Linked DNA regions of Caenorhabditis elegans. The protein of the gene in region 1 purifies or fractionates together with the protein of each later gene. This does not show direct contact. Each region holds a gene or a part of one and is shown in the gene's direction. Other genes may lie near its edges. The genes, in order: exos-9, evl-18 and Y43F4B.10.

The links.
Region 2: the proteins of exos-9 (region 1) and evl-18 fractionate together in Caenorhabditis elegans (co-fractionation; one large-scale study listed by BioGRID). This does not show direct contact.
Region 3: the proteins of exos-9 (region 1) and Y43F4B.10 fractionate together in Caenorhabditis elegans (co-fractionation; one large-scale study listed by BioGRID). This does not show direct contact.

The regions. Positions count from the first base shown.
Region 1 is NC_003281.10:7,195,640-7,199,624, reverse strand, and holds exos-9 (Exosome complex component RRP45), read left to right. Parts: upstream 1-1,558; 5' UTR 1,559-1,563; coding exon 1,564-1,629; intron 1,630-1,671; coding exon 1,672-1,766; coding exon of another isoform or gene 1,767-1,770; intron 1,771-1,816; coding exon 1,817-1,920; intron 1,921-1,961; coding exon 1,962-2,053; intron 2,054-2,098; coding exon 2,099-2,263; intron 2,264-2,309; coding exon 2,310-2,392; intron 2,393-2,435; coding exon 2,436-2,568; intron 2,569-2,619; coding exon 2,620-2,708; intron 2,709-2,762; coding exon 2,763-3,066; intron 3,067-3,122; coding exon 3,123-3,296; 3' UTR 3,297-3,400; downstream 3,401-3,985. Other genes in the region: pfd-5 (putative prefoldin subunit 5), read left to right, coding at 742-861, 911-1,006, 1,050-1,181, 1,233-1,343.
Region 2 is NC_003281.10:3,729,053-3,736,993, reverse strand, and holds evl-18 (Cell division control protein 45 homolog), read left to right. Parts: upstream 1-1,954; coding exon 1,955-2,014; intron 2,015-2,063; coding exon 2,064-2,123; intron 2,124-2,142; exon of another isoform or gene 2,143-2,147; coding exon of another isoform or gene 2,148-2,320; intron 2,321-2,370; coding exon of another isoform or gene 2,371-2,560; intron 2,561-2,620; coding exon of another isoform or gene 2,621-2,701; exon of another isoform or gene 2,702-2,739; intron 2,740-2,850; coding exon 2,851-2,944; intron 2,945-3,423; coding exon 3,424-3,911; intron 3,912-4,637; coding exon 4,638-5,096; intron 5,097-5,486; coding exon 5,487-5,694; intron 5,695-5,745; exon of another isoform or gene 5,746-5,817; coding exon of another isoform or gene 5,818-5,886; intron 5,887-6,044; coding exon of another isoform or gene 6,045-6,137; exon of another isoform or gene 6,138-6,219; intron 6,220-6,491; coding exon 6,492-6,690; intron 6,691-6,736; coding exon 6,737-6,893; 3' UTR 6,894-7,354; downstream 7,355-7,941. Other genes in the region: F34D10.4 (C2H2-type domain-containing protein), read right to left, coding at 1-61, 177-299, 345-370; F34D10.3 (Serpentine Receptor, class E (Epsilon)), read right to left, coding at 2,148-2,320, 2,371-2,560, 2,621-2,701; F34D10.8 (uncharacterized protein), read right to left, coding at 5,818-5,886, 6,045-6,137; F34D10.9 (CPSF_A domain-containing protein), read left to right, coding at 7,424-7,438, 7,486-7,906.
Region 3 is NC_003281.10:13,312,193-13,315,332, forward strand, and holds Y43F4B.10 (uncharacterized protein), read left to right. Parts: upstream 1-1,875; 5' UTR 1,876-1,879; coding exon 1,880-1,933; intron 1,934-1,993; coding exon 1,994-2,136; intron 2,137-2,245; coding exon 2,246-2,375; 3' UTR 2,376-2,529; downstream 2,530-3,140. Other genes in the region: slc-36.1 (Amino acid transporter transmembrane domain-containing protein), read left to right, coding at 1-11, 64-127, 654-760, 827-958; dph-7 (methylated diphthine methylhydrolase), read left to right, coding at 2,942-3,140.

The DNA.
Region 1 (3,985 bases):
AAAGGAAATTGAATGATAAGGAGATGAAAGTGATATCTTTGAAGGTTCAAAACAACTTTTCCACTTCGAGAAGATTCGTCTATAAAAAGGAAACAATTTTATGAAGGGATCTTTGTGAGTTTATAGAATTCTAGGGGTTGTAGTAGCTTTACCTTTCCAAAAAATGTTGTATTTCAGTTATGCCTTTTTCAAATGAAACAGATCCGCCAAGAAGTTCCAAACTGCAAATGATGTTTGATTTTCGAACTAATAGTTCAAAGTATCCCAGTCTAATTTATTATACACCGGAATTTTTTTATGATTCAACAAATAAAAAAGTGAAGGCGAAATCGGGGAATACCCTCAAGAAGATACACAACATTGCAGGGAAACAAAGGAGAAAAGTCTGGTGTTGGAGCTAAATGTCTTCAAATAAAAGTTACAAAATCGGTATTAATTGGTTGGAATCTCCATAAAATATTATTCAATTAATTTTTCTAAAAAAAAAACACCTTCAATATATTTTGATGAATAGAGCAAAAATCTACTTTTCGTCCTTCCTTAAAATATTATTTTTGAATTACCGCCAACAGTGGCCGTGGCCGCGCACATTTGAATTTTCTAGGCCAATGGTTCAATTCGAGAAAATTTCACCGATTTTTAATGCTTATTTTTTCATTATCCTTTTATCCATTTTTAGATCATAATTTCAATAAAGATTGTTATAAATATTCTTCTTTAATAATTATAAATAATTTTAGAATGGCAGAAGAACCGAAAGGAGTACCGCTGTCAGAGCTCAGCTTGCAACAACTCGGAGAACTCCAGAAGAATTGCGAACAAGAATTAAACTTCTTCCAGGAGTCTTTCAATGCTCTTAAAGTTTGTTGAATTTCGTATTTGTTTTTCAAATTAATAAAAATATTTGCAGGGTCTTTTAACGCGGAACGAAAAAAGTATTTCTGCTTTGGACGATGTGAAAATTGCAACTGCAGGACATACAGCTCTCATTCCACTTTCTGAATCGGTATATTTTCATTGTACTTTTTTAATAATTAATGATTATTCAGCTCTACATCCGTGCTGAACTATCTGATCCATCAAAGCATTTGGTGGAGATCGGAACTGGATACTTCGTGGAGCTGGACCGCGAGAAAGCCAAAGCAATTTTTGACCGTAAAAAGGAACATATTACAAAGCAGGTACGAACATCGAAAGTGTCTTACTTGAGTATTTAATCTTATTTATATCAGGTTGAGACAGTTGAGGGAATTCTGAAAGAGAAGCGAAGAACTCGGGCCTATATTTCGGACGCATTCCAGACCAAGGTTCAGTCTCAACTCGCCACGATGAATACACAATAAATGTCTGCCGAGAAATCTACTTCTGAAAATCTCTTGCTTTTCCGATATTCAAATTGTTGTTATCAATTTTCGATTTTAATACTACACCTTGCATTGATTCTTGTTCAAAATAATATGTTTCTTGCTTCTTTTTTGTATTCTAGCTAGTGGTTCGCGTTCAAACGCCTTGAGTACTTACAGTTCGAAAAAATAATTACTTTAAAATCTAACTTCAGAAGTAATGAGAGTTCAACCGGTGACAAACTGCGAGAAGGCTGTGATATTAGAGGCGCTGAAAATTGGAAAAGTAAACTGGTTTCATTGGATTTATTTTTAATTTTTTTTTCAGAGATTTGATTTTCGTAGTCTGGAAGAATTTCGGGATGTGAAGTTAGTGGTCGGAGCAGAAGTTGGAACTGCAATTTGCACTATTGGAAATACAAAGTTCGTTAGTTTTTCCTTATTATTTATAGTCATAAATTTTGAATTTTCAGAGTAATGGCTGCAGTAAGTGCCGAAATCGCTGAACCATCGTCAATGAGACCACACAAAGGAGTTATTAATATTGACGTTGATTTGAGTCCAATGGCTAATTATGGTTAGATTCCTATTTTTGATTAACAATTATCCTTTTTTTAGCCAATGAGCATGACCGTCTCGGGAGCAAAGGAATGGAACTGATTCGTCTATTGGAGCTTATTATTCGTGATTCTCGGTGTATTGATGTTGAGGTGAATTGAGCTGTAGAGAACTTAAATTACAAAAATAAATTCCAGGCTCTCTGCATTCGCGCTGGAAAAGAAATTTGGAAAATTCGAGTAGATGTCCGAATTCTTGACGAAGATGGAAGTCTTCTTGATTGTGCTTGTCTCGCTGCTATCACAGCTCTTCAGCATTTTAGACGACCAAATGTCACTTTGGAACCACATCACACTCTTATCGTGAGTTTGAATTTTTTTAAAGTTCTTAAGTAATCACAAATTTCAGTATTCGGAATACGAAAAAGCACCAGTTCCATTGAACATTTACCATATGCCAATTTGTACAACCATCGGATTATTGGATAAAGGGTTTGATTTCTGTCACAAATTCATTTTAATTTTTAATTTTCAGACAAATTGTAGTCATCGATCCAACAGATAAAGAAACTGCATGTCTTGATGGATCAATTGTAGTTGCCTGCAATAAGCGTCGCGAAGTTTGTGCCCTCCATCAGAGCACAAATCTCATTTTATCAACAAAGCAGGTATTCAATTTCGCATTTCAAATTTTCGAATATGACTTTAAAATTATTAAGATCGAGCGTTGCGTAAAGTTGGCAATGGCTCGTGCGGAAGCGCTCACTGCAGTTGTTAGTGACGTCATTAAACAGGATCAAATTGAAAGGTAACATTAGATTTTCAAATTTTGAAATTATTATTCAATTGTAAAATATTTCAGAAGCGCATTCAAACGTCCGGATGGTTTTGCAATCACCACTCCATCACTCATTCTCACAGCTGGAACTACAGCTTCTCGTCAAATTCGTGCTCCTGTAATCAAAACTGAGCCTGAGTCGTTCACACAGAGAAGTCTCTACCAACCAAGTGTTATTCTTAATGAGAATCCATTGAGTGTCGGATCAGTCAAGCAAGAAGATGTTGATGAGGAGACATTGCTCGCCGAGCAACTTACAACTATTCAGAATAGTGTTGGACAAGTTGAAGTGACTGAGAAGCAGACTGTTGCAGTTTCCAGCCGAAAGGTTTGTGAAATTAAGATTTTATTTAAACATTTTTTTACTATTTATTACTGTTTAAGCGCGAAGTAGAGGAAGTCAACGATCTTCTTGACGGACTCGACGATGACGACGAGGAGGAAGAAGTTCAAACAATGACACTGGGATCCGAAACAGTATTGAACGACGTGCCAATGGAAGAAGCTCCAGATGCCGAAGATAGCCTCGTGAATGCTAAAAAGAAAAAGAAGAAGTAGTTTAGATGCCGCTAATTTCTTTAATTTGTTGTCTTTTTCATTCCTTCCCATTTTTATTTGTTCGCAATGTTGCCTTGTTGTGTTTATGAATCGTTTAAAGTTTCATTCGGGAAGTACGGGATTCAGTTGAATAAGACATTTAGCAGCTAAATATTCCTGAACAGAGATTGACATGAGATAGAGAAAAAAACCAATGCAATATTTATATTATTAAGAAACCATGAGATCATGAGAATGCCTACCGTTGTTTTAATATCTCGTAGCGAAGGCACCTAAATCTCTCTTCGCCGCATGCTCTCTGCTTCCGCTACTTTCGTGCCAGAAAGTAGGCATTCTCATGAACTGGTGGTCTCTTAATACGCTGATACGAAATTTTGCGATTTCTGTTCAAAAAATACGGTACCGGTCTCGATAAGACAAGGTTTTGTAATTTAAAAATGCTGTGCGCCTTGGAAGATTACTGTAATTTTAAACTTTCGTAGCTACGAAAATTTCCTAAATTTTTCGTATTATAAATATATTAGCTTAGCAACGAGATTTTAAAATTACAGTAATCCTTAAAGGCGCACACCCTTTTCAATAAATTTTAGTCGTGTCGAGACCAGGTACCGTATGTTTGACGCAAAAACAGCGAAACATTGCGTTTAAGTATAATGCTCCACAAACACCATGAAATCATCATTACACCA
Region 2 (7,941 bases), 3.5 Mb from region 1:
AAGGTCCATGAAGTCGACCACTTGTTTTGTGCATCCCTCGCATTCGAACAAGTACACTTTCCTAAAATAAATACTAATGTTAAGCCTTAATTAATTTTTTTTGTTTTCAAGGAAGTAAGAGTCTTTGAAAACCAATATCTCAAAAATTGCAAACATTTTTCGGCGCCAAAACTTACGTGTGTATCGAAAAATGGGTCAGAGTGTCGGAAAATGTGCCGACGAAGTTACACTCATCGCCCCTCCGATTTTTCATGAACCGACATCTGAAGAAGTTTTTATTCTGTTCATAACTATCGGTTCTGCAAAAAAGCTATTTTTGTTGATGAAATATTCGCATTACTCACATTAATGCCTTAATATAAGGTTCCATATGCCGCCGTCAATTGATTGAGCTGAAAATTAGAATTGTGTTGAGAGCATATAAGGAAAAAAGAAAATTAAGACGGAGAATTGTGCAACTGAAAATATTCGAGAGGACCCTATTGTACACGTGGCATATCCATAAATATGTGCCACGAGCTGGGGAGCGAGGTTAAGGTCACGTTAAACATTTTATTAATTCGAATTTATATGGCAGGTTTCATAAAATTAAGTTGTTTTTCTCTTATATCCTAGACTTTTTAATAAGGTAAAAATCGACGAATTTGTAGCTTCCTTTAAAAATTAAAAATGTTATAGTAGATTACAAAAATGGCCAGAGTAGAGCGCATGTATGAATATTCAATGGTGGCGTCCGTGTTTTGTGTAAAATATTCTCATTGTGTACAATATTGTAGGAATACACTCAAAACAAATAGTGTTGCCTCGACATTTGCAATTTGAAAGTGTTACAGCACCCTTTTGATTTTATGAATATAGAAAAAATGTGCGAGAAAAATCAACGAGCGTCCCCGATTTGCCAATAAATCGTGGCAAAAAGGAAGAAAAACGAATAGATACGTGGTATGAGCGGAAGGAAGAGTTCGTTCGTCCTTCCAAAATAAACTGAGCTTTCTCTCTCTTCTACTCGGTTTTTATACCCGCTTTTTACGGGAGTGGATGGGCGGTGTGAAGCCAAGTGACGCGCCGCCGGTGCGTCACATGGCTTTTCCCAGTAACACGTGGTCTAGATACGAGCGGCTGCAGGGAACAAAGAAACATGCCAGGAATTCAATTAAATGCATTTGAAACCGGAATTTTCCGACCAAAAATTGTTTAAATTATTGAAAACGACAGAAATTAAATATTTGAATTTCGCCTAAAACAAAACAAAACATTTTCGTTGCGAGACCCACAACTCCAGAAAATGCGTGCTCCTTTAAACTAATTTCGCTTTTTCAACTGAATTAGCTGAATTTTGTGAATAATCAAAGAAAATAAGGAGGACTCCTTCCCCCGGAGGGTATTTGAGAGAAAAAAACAAAAAGTTAAATACAGTAACTGAAAAAACTCAATAAACGTAGATATTTAACTTACGAAAGAAAAACCTCCTCGCCTTGAATGTAACCTACGCGTGTCTGTGTTCATAAAATCCTGATGTGTATTTATTCATATTATTTTCTATGAGTTTGAAATTGAAATACAAAAATTTGTAAATATTGTATAATATTTACATTTCTGACCAAATCTACTCAATCCTCCTCCCCGTTCACCGCGTGCGCGATGACGTCTTCTCCAAACACTCCAGATGACGTAACATACCACCATTCTGTCATTCAGCAACAGCACATTATTATTTTCAATTGAATTGCCCACTTTTAGATTTATTTCTGTAGATTTTTCGGTTTTCAATTCAGTTTTTGCGAGAAATCGAGAAATGCAATTGCGCCCTGCCGCACTCTCAACGCGCGAAGCCATTAATTTGAAACGAACGCATCTTTTTTCACACTTTTCTGGTGATTTTCTCGAGATTTTTTGCTTATTATCTTTTTGAAATTAATAAAAAATAATTTTAAATCAATATTATAAATTTCAGATGATCATCGAAGACAACTTTCGGCAGGAATTCTACAATAAAATCAAGAAAGGCGATAAAGTGAGTTTAAAGTCATTTTTACTCCATTTTCACGTTATTTCTGCTTCAGAGTGTGGTTCTAATCGTTTCAGTCGACACGGATGCATTATGCACGACGATGATTTTGACGGTAATAATGCAATTTATTTATAAATCAATGATTATTTATTTTCTTTTGAACGGAGTAAAGTCTCCGCGTGAGATCGACAAAAATTATTCCACAAAAGATCCAAAATGGGATGAAATAGACAATATATGGAATTGAAAGTGCAAATGTCAGCCGAATTGCGATGAGAACCTCGAAAACCACTTTGCAAGTGATGCATACTGAAAATCGATTTTTTTTATTCAAAAAATATATTTATTTTCGTACTAACCGAACTGTCCTGTGTAAACATTATTGAATGGATACAAAAAGTTCCAGAAAGCGCGGATTCCGAGGTTTTGCTGTCCATTTGTGCGTAATTCGGAGTAAATGTTGTAAAAGAGCACTCCGAAGCACGCAGCGTCTGTGGCAAAAACTATAAGACAAAGGAAAATGTACTGTTTGTCGCCACTTGAATTATCCTGGAATTATTGTCTCCGGTTTATTGAAAATATTTCAATTTATCTTTCATTTCTGCTCACCAAAAACAGAGCCAAACAAATCGTGGTGGCAAGAAGGTCAAGGAAGACACAGATCGCTTTTTGACCCGATAAAAGTCGCATATTCATAAATGAACTCAATTTTATTCACATAATATTGAGAAAAATAGTCGATGGAGACAATAAGAGGGGGAGGGTGCAGAGAAAGAGAAGCGTACGAGAGAGCGCGGTTGCTGTGAGAGCATTAGATAGAACAATTATTCAAATTTCAGCATCTGCTACGCTGTGATGACATCCCATTCTCGATTCTTGCAGTGGAAGGATGGAGCTCGGTGGAGAAGATTTTTGCAGATTCACAAGAGCAAAGTATGTGAGAGAGTCGAAATATCCCCAATTTTTAATTAAAAAATAATTCCGTCACCGTTACCACACGGAAAAGTGGCAAAATTGGAGTAAAAATACAGTATCCGGTCTCGATACGAAAGATAGTACTGTAATTTTGAGCTCCCGTTTTTGCGCAATTCATATCGATGTGTTAGATTTATGTGATTTTATTTTTTAATATATAGTGTTTTTTTTAAAATAAACACATATTTTTAACGAGAAAACTATGAAAAATCGATAAAATTGCTCATCAACGAAAGTTTGAACCTACAGTACTCTTTAAAGGCGCACACTTTTTCGCAATTAGCAAATATTTGTCTGTCGAGATCCGGCGGAACTCTATACCGCCATATCAATTTCTAAGAAGTTTTATCACAATTTTCGGAATTTCGGAGCAAGATTTCCGCTGTTTCCTTTAATAAATTGATAAAAAAACATTTTTTATTACATTTTTATTACAGAATGTCATTATATCCTAATCAATTGCGGAGCAACACGATCCCTGACACGACTACAAATCCCGCCGGCTTCAATAGCATTTGTCATTGATTCTCATCGACCATTTCACATTGAGAATGTCTATGAAAATGGTCAAATTCATTTATTGGCAAATCCAAGTGAAATGAGCGAATTGCAAATTCCTGATCTTGAATCTGTGATTCGAGAGGATTCTGACGATGAAGAAGATTCAGATGAAGATGAAGATCAAGAGTACATCTCATATGAACAACGAATGGAAAAGATTCGACGGAAAGCGATTAAGAGGGAAGAAATGCAAATATGGGAAAGGCAGAGGAGGACAATTCTCTGGAGATACTACGAATCGACGTGGTTCAGCTCGCCGAGCTGTGTGACTTTACTCGAGATGGCCGCAGAAATGAACAGAGTATCTGCTGAAACTATGTGGTTTACTGCGGTCGGGTTGAATAGTGCGATGGCTGATAAATTGGTAAGTTTTAGGTGTGAAGGCTTTGAGCGAATCAAAAATTTCGGTTTCCTCTGAAAAATATCGAAAAAAAATTTTATGACGAAAGAAAAACATCGATTTTTGGCTCAAAAAATGATGCAATTTATCGGATCGATCTTTAATTTCAGGAAAATACGATGGTACAGTAGTTCTTAAAGGCGCATACTCTTTCAAAATCCAAAAAAATCGTGTAGAGACCAAGTTTTTAGGGCAAAAAATGGTATTTTTGGGTTTTTTCAAAAATAATATAATCCAGACACAAAATTTTGCGATTTTTGCGCCAAAAATACGGCGCCCGAGGTATTGACAACTGCTGAAAGATGTGCGCCTTTAAAGAGTACTGTAGCTTTAAATTCTCGTTGTTGCGAAATTTCATCGTTTTTGACAAATTTTTGAATGAAAAAAAAAATTGAATACATTTTTTATCAAAAAAAACTATAGATAATCGATGAAAATTCCGCGACAACGAAAATTGAAAGCTACAGTAAACTTTAAAGACGCAGACATTTTTATATTCCACACAAAGGTGTTGTTTCGAGACCTATAGCATTTCAAATTGATTAATAATTATGTTAAAACACCCCAAAAATCTACAGATTTTGAACAATTTTCAGTAAAAAAATTGGCAAATTACCAATTATCGCTAAAATTGCACTATTACACAATTTAAAAAGCCATAAAACAGTATTTTATACAACTTTTTTTCAGATCTCAATTGAAATGTACACCCAAATCTGTGTAGATCGAATGCGTCCGTTTGTCCATCGATTTATGCCAAAAAATATAGTGAATCAAGGAAAAGTGGATGATCTCTTGCATATTACATTTGGCCGAGAACTACCACTTGCTCTATATTCACATTGGGATTTGTTCAGTGCAATGATGGTCAGCGAGTATTTCTCGATTAAAACAAAAAATTGGACACAAAAAGGAGATGTGAATATTCGACATTTACTTGCTCAACTTGGAATCACTCTTCACGAAACAAAACAAAAATTCGAAGCTCTTCCAACGGAGCAACGGAATTTGGTGGTTGATGTTCTGGAAAAAGAAATGGATTCATCGTTTGCAACATTTTTTGGAACTCTTGGATATTGTGGGAAGTTGAGTGCATGTGATGTTGCAAGAGCTGTCACTTTACGATTGGAAATGCCGAAAAGTGAAACTGTAAGGGTTTTTTTTTGTAAAAATTTATATTTTTAGCCATTCTCTTCCAATATTTTAAATTAAAATTCAGTGATAAAGTATAGAAAAATATTTAGTTTATCTGAAAATAACTATTAATTTACTTGGAACAACTGAAAAAGTTCTCAATAATTCTCTGATTTTTTCGAGCAATTTTCAACTTTCAGATAACTTTTTGCACTCTTTAAACAATTAAAAGTGCTGAAAAATTATCTGGAAGTTGAGAACTCTCGGAACAAAATCTACCAGCTTTTAGACAATTATTTGAGCATTTCTCCAATTGTTCCAACTGAAATAAAAGGTATTTTCAGATAAATCAAATATTTTTTCTAATATTCTGAAATGCCAAAAAATAAAAATATATTATTCCAGATAATGAATCGTTTCCGATCCGGTCAATCAATCCTCAGATCATCAATAACTGGAGAACGACAAGATCGCCTGAATCTCAACAACACGTTCACTTCGATCTGCCAACGAACGCTTCAAGTGTCGTGGAAAACCGTCGCGGCGGCTATTAATCAATCGGAGATTATTCCAAATGGGCCGTATTATCTATTCTCGTGCTCACGGTCCATTGGTACGGATTTTAGAATCATTTGGAAAAAGTCAAATCGGAGAAAATAAAAACTCGATTTTTAAGCATTTTATTAGCATAATCAGAAGATGAAGTTCGATGGGGTCATGTGTTGTGGCTCGGCTATCACTTGGCTCCGCGAGTAGATCCACCAGTTGATTTTCCAGATGCTTCCTCAGCGACGCGAGCCTCTCTCTGTAATTTATTTTTGATGGGAAAATTAGTTGAAATTTTGAATTCAGAAATCCTCAAAGCGGTTTTTGAAAAAAACTCAAATTCGAATTCCCGCAATTTTTTTGATTAAATTCTGAATTCCCCGAGAAGCTAATGTTTCCAAATAACAAAATGCTTACCTTTGCAACCTTGCAAGCTCTGGCATGAGCCATTCTCTCCACCTGCATCTTCTTCTTCATTCGCTTTGGCATCAATTTCTTTGCGGCAGCCATTGCAGACCTTCTTCACAAGTTTCGATAACTAGAACTAACGAGAACTGATTTTGTTTCAAAAAGTTGAAGGAGAGTGGGAAATAAAAAAATCAGGCTTCACGTTTCTCGCGTCATTTGTTTTGAATTTTTTAAATAATTTCTTTTGAACAGATTAATTTTTCGCGTGTAAAAATCTTTTTGGACATCTGCTCTTTTGGTCTGGGGTCTTGGTTGGGGTTTTCAGAGAAAATCAGAAATTTTGAAAATTAATAAAACATTAAATTTTTAAATCAAATTTTGTTGATGTTGATGGGAAAAAATTGAAAACTAGTGAGAAAATTTAGTACTTTTATAGTCTAAAAAATATATTTCCAGACGAGGATATGGTCGACTCACGTCATTTTCTCTACAACACCGCCGGATTCATGATTCGCGCCTTTGCCTCAATGAAGAAAGGACGTACAACAAAGCCGCTAATCGCAATGTTCCCATTGACTGGAGAGAGTGCTGGATGGCTTGTAGTCACTGGAGTTATGCCGATTGCCACAATTTATGAGGATTCACTACTTAAAACGTAATATTCGGCCTGTAATTTTAACTTTAAAATTGATTATTTTCAGGTGTATTGGTCGTGCTTTCGAACGAGTAAAGAAAATGACTCCACCACTTCGTATCGTTGATGACTACTTTAATTCTGATATTATTCGCTTGAAATCTGAAGATCGTACTCGTTTTATTGATTTTCTGCAGACTGTCTTTGAGGGCACATCCAACTGATCTCTTACAGGCGTTTCTACCTATTGCACCATCTTGTTCCAATGCTTTTAATGAAAAAAAAAGTCTTAAAATATAGAGCATTACTTAATTTATCGGAAAATAGCTGAAAATGGCTTGGAAACTGCCATTTTTAGGCGATTTTCCTGCGTTTTCTGTGATAAATCAAGTGATTTTCTATATTTTGACACTAATTTTTAATGAAAAACATGGTGCATTAGGCTATTTTGTAGAATTGCCTCCTACTGTTATAATGTTCAATCTTTCTCATACACGGGCACACTGACTTTCCGAGTTTAATTTTTATTATCAATTTCTGAAATTATTTCCCCTATTTACTTCTCCACTTCTCATTTCATTGTCACATATTCACTTTATTTTGATCAGTTTTCACGTGAACATATTGTAATTTTTTTTCTGATGATGATTTTTTTCTGATGATTGATTAAATCAACTTCCAACTTCTTCAAACTAATTTATTTTATATTTTATCTAGTCTCAAATTTACGCACTTATCATTTTTCTACTCGAAAATGTCTACGCATAAGGTATGTTCGAGTTGGCCGATTTTCCTGATTAATTGAGGATTTTCTAGCAATCATATTTTGTGAGTTCAACACCGAATGGTCTTGATGGAGCTCAATATCTTGCTGTAAATCGTGATGGAAGTGTTCTTTATGGTCTTAAAGTTCGCATCGTATTGAGCATAGTTGAAGCTCCGGAACAAGCTCCAGAAGTCATCACTACAGCAACTGAAAAGTCTATCTGCAAATACCACGTGGCATCCGGAAACACAAAAACGTTCCAACTTGACGACGATATTGATCCGCTTCTTCTCGCTCGAATTATTGAATTTTATATGATTTCGGATAATATTGTCGCGCTGATTTCTTACGATTCAGAGCATTTTCAAGTTATACAGACACTTATTCATCTGGAACATTCGAAAGAATGGGCTCAGACGATTGTCGTGAGAAGATTGACTATTAGCAGAATGTCTGGGCCCCCATTAGTTAGTGAGTCAATCGGTTTTTTATCTGAAAAATGCCTC
Region 3 (3,140 bases), 6.1 Mb from region 1:
TTACTAGAAAGGTTTTTTGGAGAAATTTCCATGAAAATTGGTCAAAATTCTTCAAAATTTCAGATTCCCGTCGATAAACAAACATTGTACATCTACATTGCCAGATATTCCGGAGTTATTTTGACTTGTAAGTTTCAAAAAAAAAATATTATTCGCAAAAATTATTTTTTTTTTCATTTTCCGTTTAAAAAAATCTAAAATTGACCTAAATATCGATAATTTAAGTTTTTTTGTTGCGGAAAAATTGTGTTTCAAAAATAATAATCAAATAATAAGTTTAGAAAAAAATCATAACAAATTTAGAAAATTTTAATAAATTTTTAAACAGTTATATTTGGTAAATTGAGACTTTTTCTGACATTTTTGATCAAAAAAATAAAATAATTGGTCTAAAAATCGATAATTATACATTTATTTAAACTTTTTTCGCAGAAAATTGTGTTTCAAATCGATAATGAAATAAAAATTGAGAGAATTTCGGTAAATCCAGACTTTTTCTGAGACATTTTGGAAATATACTATAAAAATTGCACATAAAAATCAAAGGTTTTTTTTCAGGTTGATATCAAATAATTAATTTAGACGAGAAAAAAATTATATAAAAATTTAGAAAAAAACTGATTTTTTCTAATTTTTTGAAAAAAAATTTCCAGGTGCAATAGCTGAGCTTATTCCTCATTTGGCTCTTTTCATCTCATTAATCGGAGCATTTTCTGGAGCTTCAATGGCTCTTCTCTTCCCTCCGTGCATTGAACTTTTGGTAGGAATTTTTGAATTCCAATTTTTTTAAATTAATTAAAAATGAAAAAAATTGAATTTTTTTCAGACATCCTACGCGAAAAACGAGTTGAGCACTGGATTATGGATCAAAAATATCGTTCTTCTCACTTTTGCCTTTATTGGATTCACAACGGGAACCTATAGTGCACTTATCGAAATTGCAAAAACTTTTGCATAGATTTAAATATCTATAATATTTAAATATTTTCAGCGTTTTAGCTGGAAATTCCCAGAATTTTATTGCACCTTTATGGAATTTTTTGGAATTTTTTTTTGTATATTTCGTGTCCTTCCTTGTCGGTTGTTCAATTTGTGATGATGATTTTTTCATATTTTTGCGGCATTTTTTTTTCATTTTCGTTTCATTCCCGAATAACATGTACTATTTATTTTGTTAATAAAATTCGAGCTTCTGTGAATATTTTTTATCGAATTTTTTGAAATATTATTTAAATGTGGTATCAATTTTAACCAATTTATTTAAATATCTCGATTCAATTTTATATTACCCAGCCGCAAAATTTTGCAATTTTCACACTAAAAATACGGTACCCGGTCTCACAACGACAATATTTTGTTAAATACAAACGGGCGTGCACCTTTAAAGAGTACTGTAGTTTCAAACTTGTGTTGCTGCAAATCATGAAATTCCGTACGTTTCAACAAAAGTTTGAAATTACAGTACTCTTTAAAGGCGCACACCTTTTCCGCATTTAACCAATATTTGCCGTGGCGAGACCGGGAAAACCGAAAAATTGGAAAAATGTTTAGAAAATTAACAAAAAAAACTATTTTTTATCAAATTTTATTTATGTTAATGAGAACAAATCATAAGAAACAGATAGTTTTTCTCTAAAAAGAGGAAAATTATATTTTTCCAAAAATCCTTTTTTTTTTCAAAATTTCGACAAAACAAAATTGTTTGGTTTTTCGATTTCTCAAAAAAAAATATCGTAAAAATAACCGCCAAAATCCTAAAGCAAATGTGCTCCATTGAAACGTGTTTTGAAAAGAGACGCAGAGAACGGTGGTGTTCCCGTTCTCTGTATTTTTATTGATTTCTCGCAGTAATTCATTCAACCTATTTTGTTTTAGAAAAATGGCGACACAAGAAGATCTTCAAACGCTTATCTCAATTGTGCCGAATCTTCAGGTAAAATATTTAAAAAAAAATCTAAATATACAATTTTAATTGAAAAAATAATGATTTCAGATGCAAGAAGGCACTCCTTATTACGAAGTTCTGCTCAAGTTGATCGAAGAAATCGGGAAAGACGTTCGTCCAACATATACATTCAATAAGTTGACCTGTGAACGGTTGAAGAGGAATATTCAAGCGGCAAAAGTTCTGATTAGGTAGGTTTTTGAGTTTTTTCGTCGATTTTCCACTCGAATTATAAGTGTCGATCAAATATTTGATCGTCATAATCGAGAAATCAATTGAGAGAAAAAAAATCATTTGCAGAGCGTGTCAACAAGAGGCCGAAACAGACAAAAAAAAGGCAGACGCTGCGATCGAAGCACAAAGAGTTGCGCAGAAATCAGAGACTCCGAAGCCTGAAGAGACATCATCGGAGGCCGCCTCGAAGAATTAATCTTGCTTTTTTATATATGTATTTCAAATTGTATTTATTTTTACCATTCCTGCAAACTGGAAACTTTAATTTTTTTGCTATAATTTCCATCACGATCCTCATGGGTTTTAAATTATTCCCAATATTTTTTCCATGAATATGTGTCTTATTCCAATCTCAATAGTTCACCAATGTATAGACTCGAAATTTGGCGGTTTTGGAGCCAAAACGGCGGTATTTGGTCTCGACACGACAATTTTTTGGTTAAATACAAACTAGTGTGCGCCTTTAAAGAGTACTGTAATTTCAAACTTTGGTTTTTGTAAAATTTTTATCGATTTCTTAACGTTATTCGTTAAAATAATACTTTATTTCTAAAAAACTGAAAATTCGATGAAAATTCCACATCACGAAAAATTTTGGAATTACAGTACTCTTTAAAAGCGCACACCTTTTCGCATTTAACAACAAATTGTTTCGTGTCGAGACCGGACACCGTATTTTTGACGAAAAATTGAAACATTTTACGTTTGAAAACCGCATTTTTAGTAAATTTTCAAAATTACAAATTTTTTGAGCTCATTTAAATGCGATCAAAAAGTGTGAAGCTGTCAAATCGCCCAGCATTTGCTCGTCGGATACCATCAGAGGACACATCACGTGCTTGCGTATCCACGTATCTTCTCGATACATCTTCAGACACTCGATCCGGCTCACTGTGCATTTTGAAGATTGATGAAGCCGACGGGCTACAGTTGGAAAATGAGATTAGCACTTCTGCTGGAG